Linked DNA regions of Schizosaccharomyces pombe. The protein of the gene in region 2 binds, or shares a complex with, the protein of the main gene of each other region. Each region holds a gene or a part of one and is shown on either strand. Other genes may lie near its edges.

What was found.
Region 1: raf2 (region 2) and raf1 share a complex: the UniProt entries of both Schizosaccharomyces pombe proteins name them as parts of the clr4 methyltransferase complex.

The regions. Positions count from the first base shown.
Region 1 is NC_003421.2:99,216-104,264, forward strand, and holds raf1 (CLRC ubiquitin ligase complex WD repeat subunit Raf1/Dos1), read right to left. Parts: upstream 3,050-5,049; 5' UTR 2,957-3,049; coding exon 1,040-2,956; 3' UTR 501-1,039; downstream 1-500. Other genes in the region: protein meu23, read right to left, coding at 1-270; rhp16 (ATP-dependent helicase), read right to left, coding at 3,470-5,049. UniProt on the Schizosaccharomyces pombe protein: Component of the Clr4 methyltransferase complex (ClrC) which contributes to the establishment of heterochromatin by specifically methylating histone H3 to form H3K9me.
Region 2 is NC_003421.2:498,565-504,012, reverse strand, and holds raf2 (CLRC ubiquitin ligase complex subunit Raf2), read right to left. Parts: upstream 3,249-5,448; 5' UTR 3,155-3,248; coding exon 1,244-3,154; 3' UTR 1,133-1,243; downstream 1-1,132. Other genes in the region: erv29 (cargo receptor protein), read left to right, coding at 1-396; kcs1 (inositol polyphosphate kinase), read left to right, coding at 4,247-5,448. UniProt on the Schizosaccharomyces pombe protein: Component of the Clr4 methyltransferase complex (ClrC) which contributes to the establishment of heterochromatin by specifically methylating histone H3 to form H3K9me.

The sequences.
Region 1 (5,049 bases), 400 kb from region 2:
TTCCAACGCGGTCCACTCATCCACTCGACGTTGAAACCTTTTTACGCGCTCATTTGTACGAATCTCCTCTTCATTCAGGTGAGTTTTGTTCTCAAGGGCCCTTCCCTCACTCTCTAATATTCTATTTCTCGCTTCTATTCTTCTTTTCTCGAATTCAACTCGAAAGTCGTTTAAAAATCTATTTCCCTCCTTTGAAGAGGATTCAGTTGGTGGAGGAATATTAAATTCATTAGAAAATTCCTCGTTCAATTCACTTTCAGTATTAGGCATAATTTATTGTTTACAAATTAATATTGTTTAGTAGTAACGCGAATAGCAAGCTGGGTGCAGCCAAGTGTAGTGGTACATGAATATGTAAACACCAAAGCTGTAAACAAAAAAGCTTCCGGTAGTTGTTCATCATTTTTTTAAATTGAAAAGGTGAGTTGATGATTAAATTATGGTTTTTGTTAACGGCATGTTTTCAAGTTAACTAATTACGTTTGCTTGAAGAGTTAATTCAACATTCCATAAAAAATCTCCATTTCTGTTAACATTAAGAGTTTCGGGTCTAAGCTAAACTTAAATTTATCTATGTTTGATATTTTAATTTAATTTGTAACACATTTTTCATCCTTTAACCGTGAAAGCTCATTTGTTTGTTACTATGTTTTGCTTTTGAGTTATCAAACCAGTCAGTTGATCATTAAAGAAACATATTAGATATTATTAAAATTTTCTTGCTGTAAACGTCAATTCAATAATCAGCTTGACTTTACCTTCACTGAGATTAAGGTTTAATTTTCCATTATCCTTTAGAATCATTGCAAAATTTTTGGCCTTCTTCAGTTCTTAAATATTTCTCGGATCGATCGCTGTCTTTAATTTTCTTGCCAGTTCACCCACGAAAAGGAATTCGATTAAATATTCATACTAGCTGAGCATTATTTCTTTTATACCTTCTCTGTATCCTAGTCGTCTAATAAAGAAAATTTTTCTTAGCGCGAATCTCCATTGACTGATCATCTTTACATATACCTTTTCGTATTTAAACCTCAATTCAGGTTAAAAGTCGATTTTCTATAATACGAAACTCTCCGAATTTATTACCATTGTCATTCCCCAAACTGTACATATTGACGTCCCCTCCAACACAACATACGGTTAGCTTTGAAGCATCCTCACTGAACCCTCCGTAAGTTATGGCTGAATTCATTTCCGTAAAATTTTGTATGAATGGATTGTTCAATCTCAAATCCCAAACCTTTACAATGCCATCACTGCCTCCGGTAACGAACAAATTCCCCTTAGGCTGCCATTGTGCCATATTTATACCTGCATCGACTTCCTCTTCATTAGCCCCGTCAAAATGTATCATTTTGGTTTTTCCATGCTTAAGCAAGCTAAGAGGTTTATCTGGTTTACGCGAATCCCAAACAAACGTCTGGTTATCTGTACCACTAGAAGTTACCAAGATTCCAGAGTTACTTATGGTGGCATGGTTAATGTCTTTTTGCGTTGTCGTAAAGTTGAGACAAACCTTATACATTCTTGTGTCTAAATAATATACTCTTCCATTGCTCAAAGTATTGCTACTTGCGACAAATCCAACTTGAGAAGGATGCATATATAAGGAGGTAAATGCTTCGTCAGCGGTGTTGAATTTTTGAACGAAGCTGGCAGTGGAAGCATCAAACAGAGCCAAACATCCTCTGTTATTAGAAGTATGAAAACTATCATATCCAATAATGACTTTGTCAGATGACCTTCCCAAAAAATTGGAAAATTCAATCAAAGATGCAGAGTACCCTTTTTCTAGAGCTTCTGGATAAATTAAATTAGCTGATGTGAGAATTTCTCCTGTTGAGTTGTCAGTGCTCAATAAATACCCATAACCATTTTTGCAAGCTACTGCAAGTAAATCGTCATCAGATAGAGCAAGCTTGTGAATATAGTCTGTGGGTGCATTAAAAATCCCACATAAATTTCCTTCCATATCCCAGACTTTCACAGCATTGTCGAATGCACCTGTATAAAGAAACAGATTACCCTTGGAAAAACACAAATCTGATATCGTAGAGTATTCCTTTTCTCCTACTTGATTAAGTTTATAATGGCTTTCCAATGACTGAATAGTTTCTGAGTGAAAATCACCAATCCATAAGTTGCCTAGTCTATTGTAAGCACCATCTTGTGCTGTGCTGCCTAAGGCAAATTTTTCGCACAATGGATTATATGCAACGCACACTGTATCCCCACTAGTTTCATTGAAATGTTTCCAAGGTTTTAAAAAGAAAACTGATTCCCCGTCCATAAGTTGATGAACTTGTTCTCTTTGGAAGTAAGATGAGCCTGCATTGTAAAAGGATTTTAAGTAATCTGGAAGTAATTTTTTATTCTTCTTGTATGTTCGTAAAATGATGGCCCCATGTTTGTCCACAGGAGACAAGCTGGGGTTATCAATTTCAAATTTCTGGCAATCTTCATATGCTCGTCCAGGAAGTTTTGGAGAAATGTGGGTCGAATAAGCATCATTGAACTGAACACTGTTTACCGGTCCAAATTTTAGTTTAGCTTCTTGTAAAATAAAGCATTCCTCTGGTGTAAAATCAACATGAATGAGTGATGGTTTATCATCGCCTGTAATGCTATTTGAAAGTAAATGAGTGTGTTTTCTCACTCTTTCACTCAAATAAGGACGTGAATTAGGTAAGAATGTCCCAGACGTTAGTAAAAGTTGCAATTCTAATCGTTTATTTACATTTGATGGAACTTTTGCAATTGAATGCTTCGATATTGATAATGACGGTTTCGGGCAAGGTAGCTCTGCGCGATAAAAAGGATCATAAATCTCAAATTCTTCCTCAAAAAATTCTTCGTTATTTGTGTCAAAGTCAACCTTGGGCAATTTAGAAGAGACGGAATGCAAATATTGCGTATCCGTTCTTCTTTTCACCCGTGGTGAACTATTAGTCATGCCATAAATAGGAAATTGTTTGAGAAATTATTGGGCTTTTTACTTTTAATCCTTCAGTGTGCAAGTTCACTAGTTTAACAGAAGTTATGGGTTGCTGAGTGAGTTTAAGGCACTGATTGATATAAAGAATTTACTAAGTCCAAAAAGTATAAAGACATTCCAAAATCGAAAATATTATATTAAAATTGAAGATATAATGATTATCTATTGAGTTACTATTATTACAAATTTATCAGTCAAAGGTAAGTTAATGACTTTACATTGAAGCGATAAAATCTTAACTATGTTTAATTTGTTTTAAAAAACTTTAACCGTTCTATTGACAACTCAATAATAAATTATATCCATTAATAGGAATCCCCAAAAAAATAAATAAACTTCCAAAACGCATATACTGACTTAGGGAATTACGGTCCAAAAAACTAGGATAACAAAAAAAATGCAAAGGGAGATATGGCAGGTATATAAAAAGGAAACGGCCAAAATTTGGGCTAATTTTAAAAAAACAAAATTCTAATTTGAGAACAAGAATTGCATATCCTCGACAGAAAGCTGGTTCAAAGCCTTTTCGTCTTGATCTATGGTTGCATGTATCATCTGAGCTTTCTTTTCTTGTAGTTCAATAATTTTGCTTTCAATGGAATTTTCAATACACAGGGTAATTACTTTTATCGGCCTTTTTTGTCCAATACGATGAATTCGATCCATTGCCTGCCACTGTACAGCTCCATTCCACCAAGGATCCATCATAAACACTTGAGATGCCTCTGTAAGGTTCAAAGCAACACCACCTGCTTTCAACGAAACTAGAAAAATGGTAATATTAATATCGTTACTGAAAGCCTCAATAGTAGCTGCTCTCGCTTTGGGGGTCATACCACCATCTAGCTTTACACAATTAAACCCGGCTTTTCGAAGTCGCCAATGAATGAGATCTAACATAGAAGTAAATTGAGAGAAAACAATCGACTTCAGTGTTCGGTCCTTCTTACGAAGTAAGTAAAGCTCCTCAACTAATGCTTCAATTTTTGTAGATGAACGCCAACTATTCATATCAATTCTATTCAAAATCGATGCATTCTTAAACTTCTCTTCAGAAAAATCTTCTAAAGCAGGGGCACTAAGATCTATGCTTAAGGGAATGAAACAACTTGGACAGTTGACATTTTCTCCATCACCAGCTGCATTGATATATTCCGTAACGCAGAGTCGACAAAATGTGTGATGGCAACGTGATTCTATAGCATCTTGAGCGACTTCGTCACAAATCTTACAGACGATATTTTCCTGATTTTCAATATCAACTGTTTTTCGTTTGCTAGCTAACACCAGGTCAGGATGATCTGCCATTTGGCGCATTCGTGTAATTAGCTGGAAAATGTTTGCATAATTATTCAAAACGACACCTTCAGCAAGATATGTATTAAATTTTCTTTTTGAATCCATATATAAAGATTGGTATACATCTTCCTCTTCTTCGTTGAATAAATCTTTCCTCACTTCAACGACTCGAGGAGGTAATCCAAGGTCATCAGCCCTCTCTAATTTTGTTCGACGTAACATAATGTGTTTTAATAAAGAATGCACCTTTTTAAAAGCTAGCTTTCCTGGACCTTCGTATCCAAACTTTTGTATTGGTTTTAGCATTTCAGCGTTAAAATAGCAAGTATGACTCATTGGTTTATGGCCGCATTCGTCGCAATTACTTCTATCGGAAAATCTCCAGTGCAGAGATTTACATTCACATTGCAAGCAATAGTAGTAAGCAAAAGGATCTGCCCGTAGGAACCGAAGAAGTGAAAATAATTCTCCAATACGGTTTTGCAAAGGTGTTCCTGAAAGACATATCTTTCTTGTCGTTCTTAAGCCACAAACAGCTCTGGCAGTGTTACAAGTCCTTGATTTGATACCATGGGCCTCATCAAGTATAATTCGGTAAAACTCCATTTGATGAAGTAATGACTTTTCTTTTACAACACCGTTTTTCCTTCTGAATCCGCTGCGTTCCTTCCTGTAAACTGATTCAATTACATTGTAACTCGTTAGTACAACATCATAGCTCGAAAGCTCTTCTCCTGAAATATCACGAGCCT
Region 2 (5,448 bases):
TTTGCAGGTTTACCGGCCGTCTCCGAACACAATAAACGTACTTATTTCCAACTAGCTGGGCGTGTTCTTTTGATCTTTATGTTTTTGGGTCTTTTGGCTAAGGAAGGAAGTGGGATTTCTTGGACTCGAATTCTAGTTCATATTTTGTCTGTTACAGCCTGTGCCATGGTGGTCATTGGTTTTAAGGCTAAATTCTTCGCTGCAGTCCTCGTTCTTATTCTATCTGTTGCCAATTTCATTATCAACAGCTTCTGGTCGGTTCCTCGTGAAAGTCCCTATCGTGACTTTTATCGTTACGACTTTTTCCAAACCTTGTCTATTGTTGGTGGTCTCCTATATCTCGTCAACACTGGACCGGGCAAGTTTTCCGTTGATGAAAAGAAAAAGATTTATTAAGCCAAAATACTGCGTGTTTCTTAAAAAAAAATGAAAATGTTGTTTTATTTTTTAATTTTTTTATGATTTGATTTAATTTGTCAACCTTGTCCTTTTATATCATAAAATCCTTATTTTACAGGTACTTTTCTTTCACAGGATCTTGCCTATTTGTACATTCCTTTGTTTACTTTGGCTCCATTCTTGTATTAGAGTTGAAATTACACTTTCTTCTATCTATGAGTGGGATCGAATTTAGGATATTATCCTATCACATTAATTTTTTTATGTCAAAGAAGTGAGCCTCATCATACTCATGTTTGCTCCTACTGATTCATGATTAGATGATTCTATTTACGTTTACAAAACCAAAAAGATGGGTAATCGTCGCGTATGGTCCGTATTTTCTGGAACAATTTTTTAATAGTATTGCTCTTTTCTAAAATAAATACTCGTTTTTTGCTCGTTTTCCTTACGCATGAACATTTAGTAGTTCTTGGCGTTTACATTCCTCTGTTTTTATTTTATCGCTTGGTCTCAGTTATTATCAAAAATGGGTTCTGGTATTTTGAACGGCCATTAACTTTACAATTGTAAAGGGTTGGTGTTTGATTTTGTTTGATCGTCCTATATTACATTTGACAAATAATTCAGCTATTTGTACACTTTAATAGGCACATTTATAAGCGTATCAAATTGTTGTTACAAAATGTGTTTTTGAAATTGTTTATGAACACATGATATTTGTAAAGTAAAGTGTATTTGACATTAGCCATGTAAAATTGTAATCCTTTATAAACATACTATATATTAACTTTAATGCAGTGTGTCTTTTGTTAATTACTAGTAAAAATCATCATATCTATCATTAATTTATGTTGTACATTATGTGTTCAAGTTTATTTGTAAACGATCGGACACTGTTCGAAGGAGTTTTAAATATAAACTTGGAATCTACATGTCCTAAAAGATGATCGTAAATGACCTGAGAAGGTTTATACGGGTTGTCACAAACAGCAAAATACAAACAATTTTGTACTGGACATGACCAAATACCAGTCTGTAAATCCGGACTAACTTTTAAAGCCTCAACTTTCTCCAAGTTATATGAATATAATCCAGTGTCTTGTTTAAAATCTGTTTCCTTTTTGGATAAGCAGGAAGATGCGGAAGCTAAATCGAGCAGTTTTGTAGGTCTATACGGTAAAGTCGACCTCGTTGACCTATTACAAGGGAATAAATTTGTTCGATCCAGCCATACCTGATCGCATAAATTTGGAGTTGATGAATATACTTTGGGATATTTGTTGCGAAGTAATTTCAATAATTCATCATAGAAGCTGAATGCAGGCCAATAACCAAAAGAAATAGAAAAAAGTTTAACAAAGTCAGGAAGAACTGTAACAAAATTTTTTTCAAAAATTTCCTCCGTAAAACTGAAAGCGACAGCTGAGTGATTAATGTATTGTTCATATGTATAATCTGAGCCAGAAAGGCCTGATCCAATATCAAATAACAAGAAATGAAATAATATCTTGGCCGCCAATTGAGCATTTGAGAAATCTAGTTTCATGCATATTAGAGTCCTCAAGAGATGTAGACTTGTTTTTTCTCCATTGTTACAATGCATGAATAAATAATCATAACAATATCCACGGAATTGAGATCGTGCTTGTTGAACAGAAGATCTAAAACCAATTGCGTGCTTAATATCATTAAAAAGCTTAGTACCTCTCCACGTGAAAGCAGTATGCATAATTTGCAAAAGGGTTTCGCCGTGGGAAGAAAGTTTATTCAAAGCTTCCAAATTTGTTATTTGTAGCTGTTGAGCAATAACGCTGCAAACTTCTTGAAGGCTAATATAACGTTGATGCTTCGGAGAGGTTGAAACTTGTATTCTTTTCCATAATGATATCGATTCAATATTTGGATCAACAATCCTTAAACCGGAAAGCCAAATATCATTCAAAGGAAACCGTAATGGAGAAGTTCTTTTTACAACTCCTAGTTGTGGTGTTGCTGTGGGAGAGGAAATGCTAAACGGTTGCTCGGGTAAATTAATTAAAGTAAGAGCTTGGTTTAAAGAGCTTTTCATAGTAGTATTATTGTCCGATGGATTGTTTGACGATAACTTTGATTTCTTTCGCTCTTGACGAGCATTGTAAATGTTTTTATTAATTTGTAAAATCAGATGTTCGTATGAAGATCGAATTCTTATAAAAAAAGGTGATTCAGACCATACATGTAATGAAGAAGTCGCAACCATTTGGGTTAACAGAAAGCGAATATGTTTTTGCACTAAGAGAATTGCTTGAAAACAAGAAGGAAGCTCTAGCTTTTCCTTTAAAACTTCGATATAATTATCGTAATCTTCTAACGTACCAGATATCATATCATCTTTGAATTTTGTCTTAATAAGGTAAAACAATCGATTCTTCTCGCTGATCTGTTCGTAAATGGCTTTATACTCAGAAGAAGGAGACAAAATTCCGTATCTTCTTTGAGGTGTAACGATCCATATGCTCATAGTTTCTTTCTCAGGAACGTCTTTTAGATTGTATGTCCAAACAGGCGATATTTTTATCGAGTATCCCAGAACAATGCTCTCATCAAACAATGGTTCTTGCTCATCCTTTTCAGAAGATAAAATTCCTGTTAATGAATAAGGGCCATATTCTAGAACGTCCTCTAAATCTACTAATTCCCCTGCTTTATTTGTAACGCAAACTTGTTCAATCAAATCAGTTTTCCGCTTTTTTTCAGCACGTACGGGCGGCATCGCTAGCTTTTTCCTTTTCCCCAAAAACAATACTCTTCGAAGTAATATTGCCTATTACTATAGACGGCATATTTTTGAGGTAAACATTGGTGTTAAATTTCTGATCTCTGCTTCTGAAATTTAAGAGAAGGGTATCCATTGTACTGCACAAATATATAATTAACGTCTAGTGCGTTATACTTACGATACGTTAACAATCACTATACCTATAATTGTGTTTTACCAACATTTCTTTCGGCCGTGAACATACGTTGCTTCTAAAGTACTTATTCTTTAATTAGAAAAATATTGATGAAGTTTGATTTGTACTCCTCAGCTGATTGTAAACTATTTTAGTGCACATATAATACTATACGATATCTCTTAATATTTTGATATATTTATTATTGTATAGAAAACAGAATTTTATTTAACATTATTTTTTATATTAGGAAAACCCACCGCAGTTCTAAAGTATCATTAAGTGTTTTAATGATTGCATAGCTGACACAATGCGTAATTTAATGACAGATACGGTGTATTATTATGTGGATCTTTAGAGTAGAATAATTGTAAGCTACGCAGTTTGGTATCTGATTTAAGGATACGTAGAACTGCGGTGAGTTTTCCTTGTGATCTATTATATTACAATACGCAGGTTGTATAAGTAGCAACTGAGTATAGGTATTGTATTAACTGGGTTATAATGTTACCTATCACTAATATAGCTCATAACTGAACCTCGTTCCTCAGTTCAGTTGTAACGCTATTTATAATATTTCTAAATAGTTGTTATCAACGGGTATCTACGTATATAGACGGATAGTTACCCGTGATTATCAATAAACGGATCTTAGCTAGTATTCCAACATATGACATATAGTGATACGCAACGTAGTGTATCATAGCGTAGTGTAGTATTGCTGACAATAATGAATTTAAGTAGTTTCACTATACGCCTCATTATACTGTAAGCTAGAGCAAAGTAAGAAACTTGCCAAGAACCAAAGCGGGTCTCTGCGAAAGGTAAACTAATAAAAATCGGACAAATTGGAGGAATTGAAGGGGAATTAAGGAAAAATATTAATTTAATAGAGATAAACTTATGAATTTATGCAGAACGCACCAAAGTGTTACCTGCCGAATTCACGTAAAGGCAGAGACGTGAATTTTCATGATCGAGGTCCTGAAACGTTAAAATGCTTGTACGATGAATCAGAAGATAACAATAATTTTACTATGCATTCTGAATCCATAGGTCCTAAGTCATTAGACAGTTTATCGCCTAGAAGGCTAAGTAACTATTCATCTGCTGTAGACCCTCGAACTACGAGCTTGGAAGATGTCCCTCGCTTAATTTTAACAAGAAGTAATTCACAAGAACAAACCCCTTTGAGAACACACACCCCTGTTGAATATATGAGTGATTCAATTCACAAGAGTCTAGCTGACTTGCAATTAGGTGGTTCCTCTTATTCAGTTGCTGAATCACCAGTACCGGTGCTGCAGTCTTCAGCCGTTTCTGAAGCTGATGATATGGCAAGTGCTCATTCTGCTCATCCGTCTCGAAAGGCAAGCAGGTCATTACGTCTCTTTGAGTCTTCTACCTCCAATAACTTAGAAACCGGTAACAGTACTAATACTGCTTTGCACAACGTGTCGAGTCCTCTTGAATCTGTTTCTGAAAGGCTCTCCAAATCTGGATCACCAAGTGTTGGTGCTCAGCATGATTTAGATGAAGTTATTTCCGAAAAAGATACATCACTAAGTCGAAGATCATCTCGTGGTCGGAGCTCAGCTCCTAAACGAAGAAAAGATAGTGGTAGTTCTAAAACCACAGCCACCTACATACCACATAATCCTTCTAAAAAGTCATCTCAACACCTCCCTTTACTACCTGATGCTTCGTTTGAGCTTGAAAGGTCGGTATCCCGTTCTTATCAAAGTCCTGCATCCACCCCGCGATCATCTGTATCATCTGTCTCATCATCTCCTCCTGAAGACCATCCTTTTTTCCATTGGAATGTTGATTATCCGGTTACTGTACGATTGGAACCCTTCAAACATCAAGTCGGTGGACATACGGCTTTCTTCCGGTTTTCTAAAAGAGCCGTTTGCAAACCACTTACAAGAAATGAAAATACGTTTTATGAAACTATTGAAGCTTGCCATCCAGAATTGCTTCCCTTTATCCCAAAGTATATTGGTGTTTTAAATGTGACTCATACTATTACTAAAACAGAAGAAAACGATTCTACTACGGAATATGTCAATACAGAATCATCGTCTAAAACACCTGCCCCCCATAAACACAC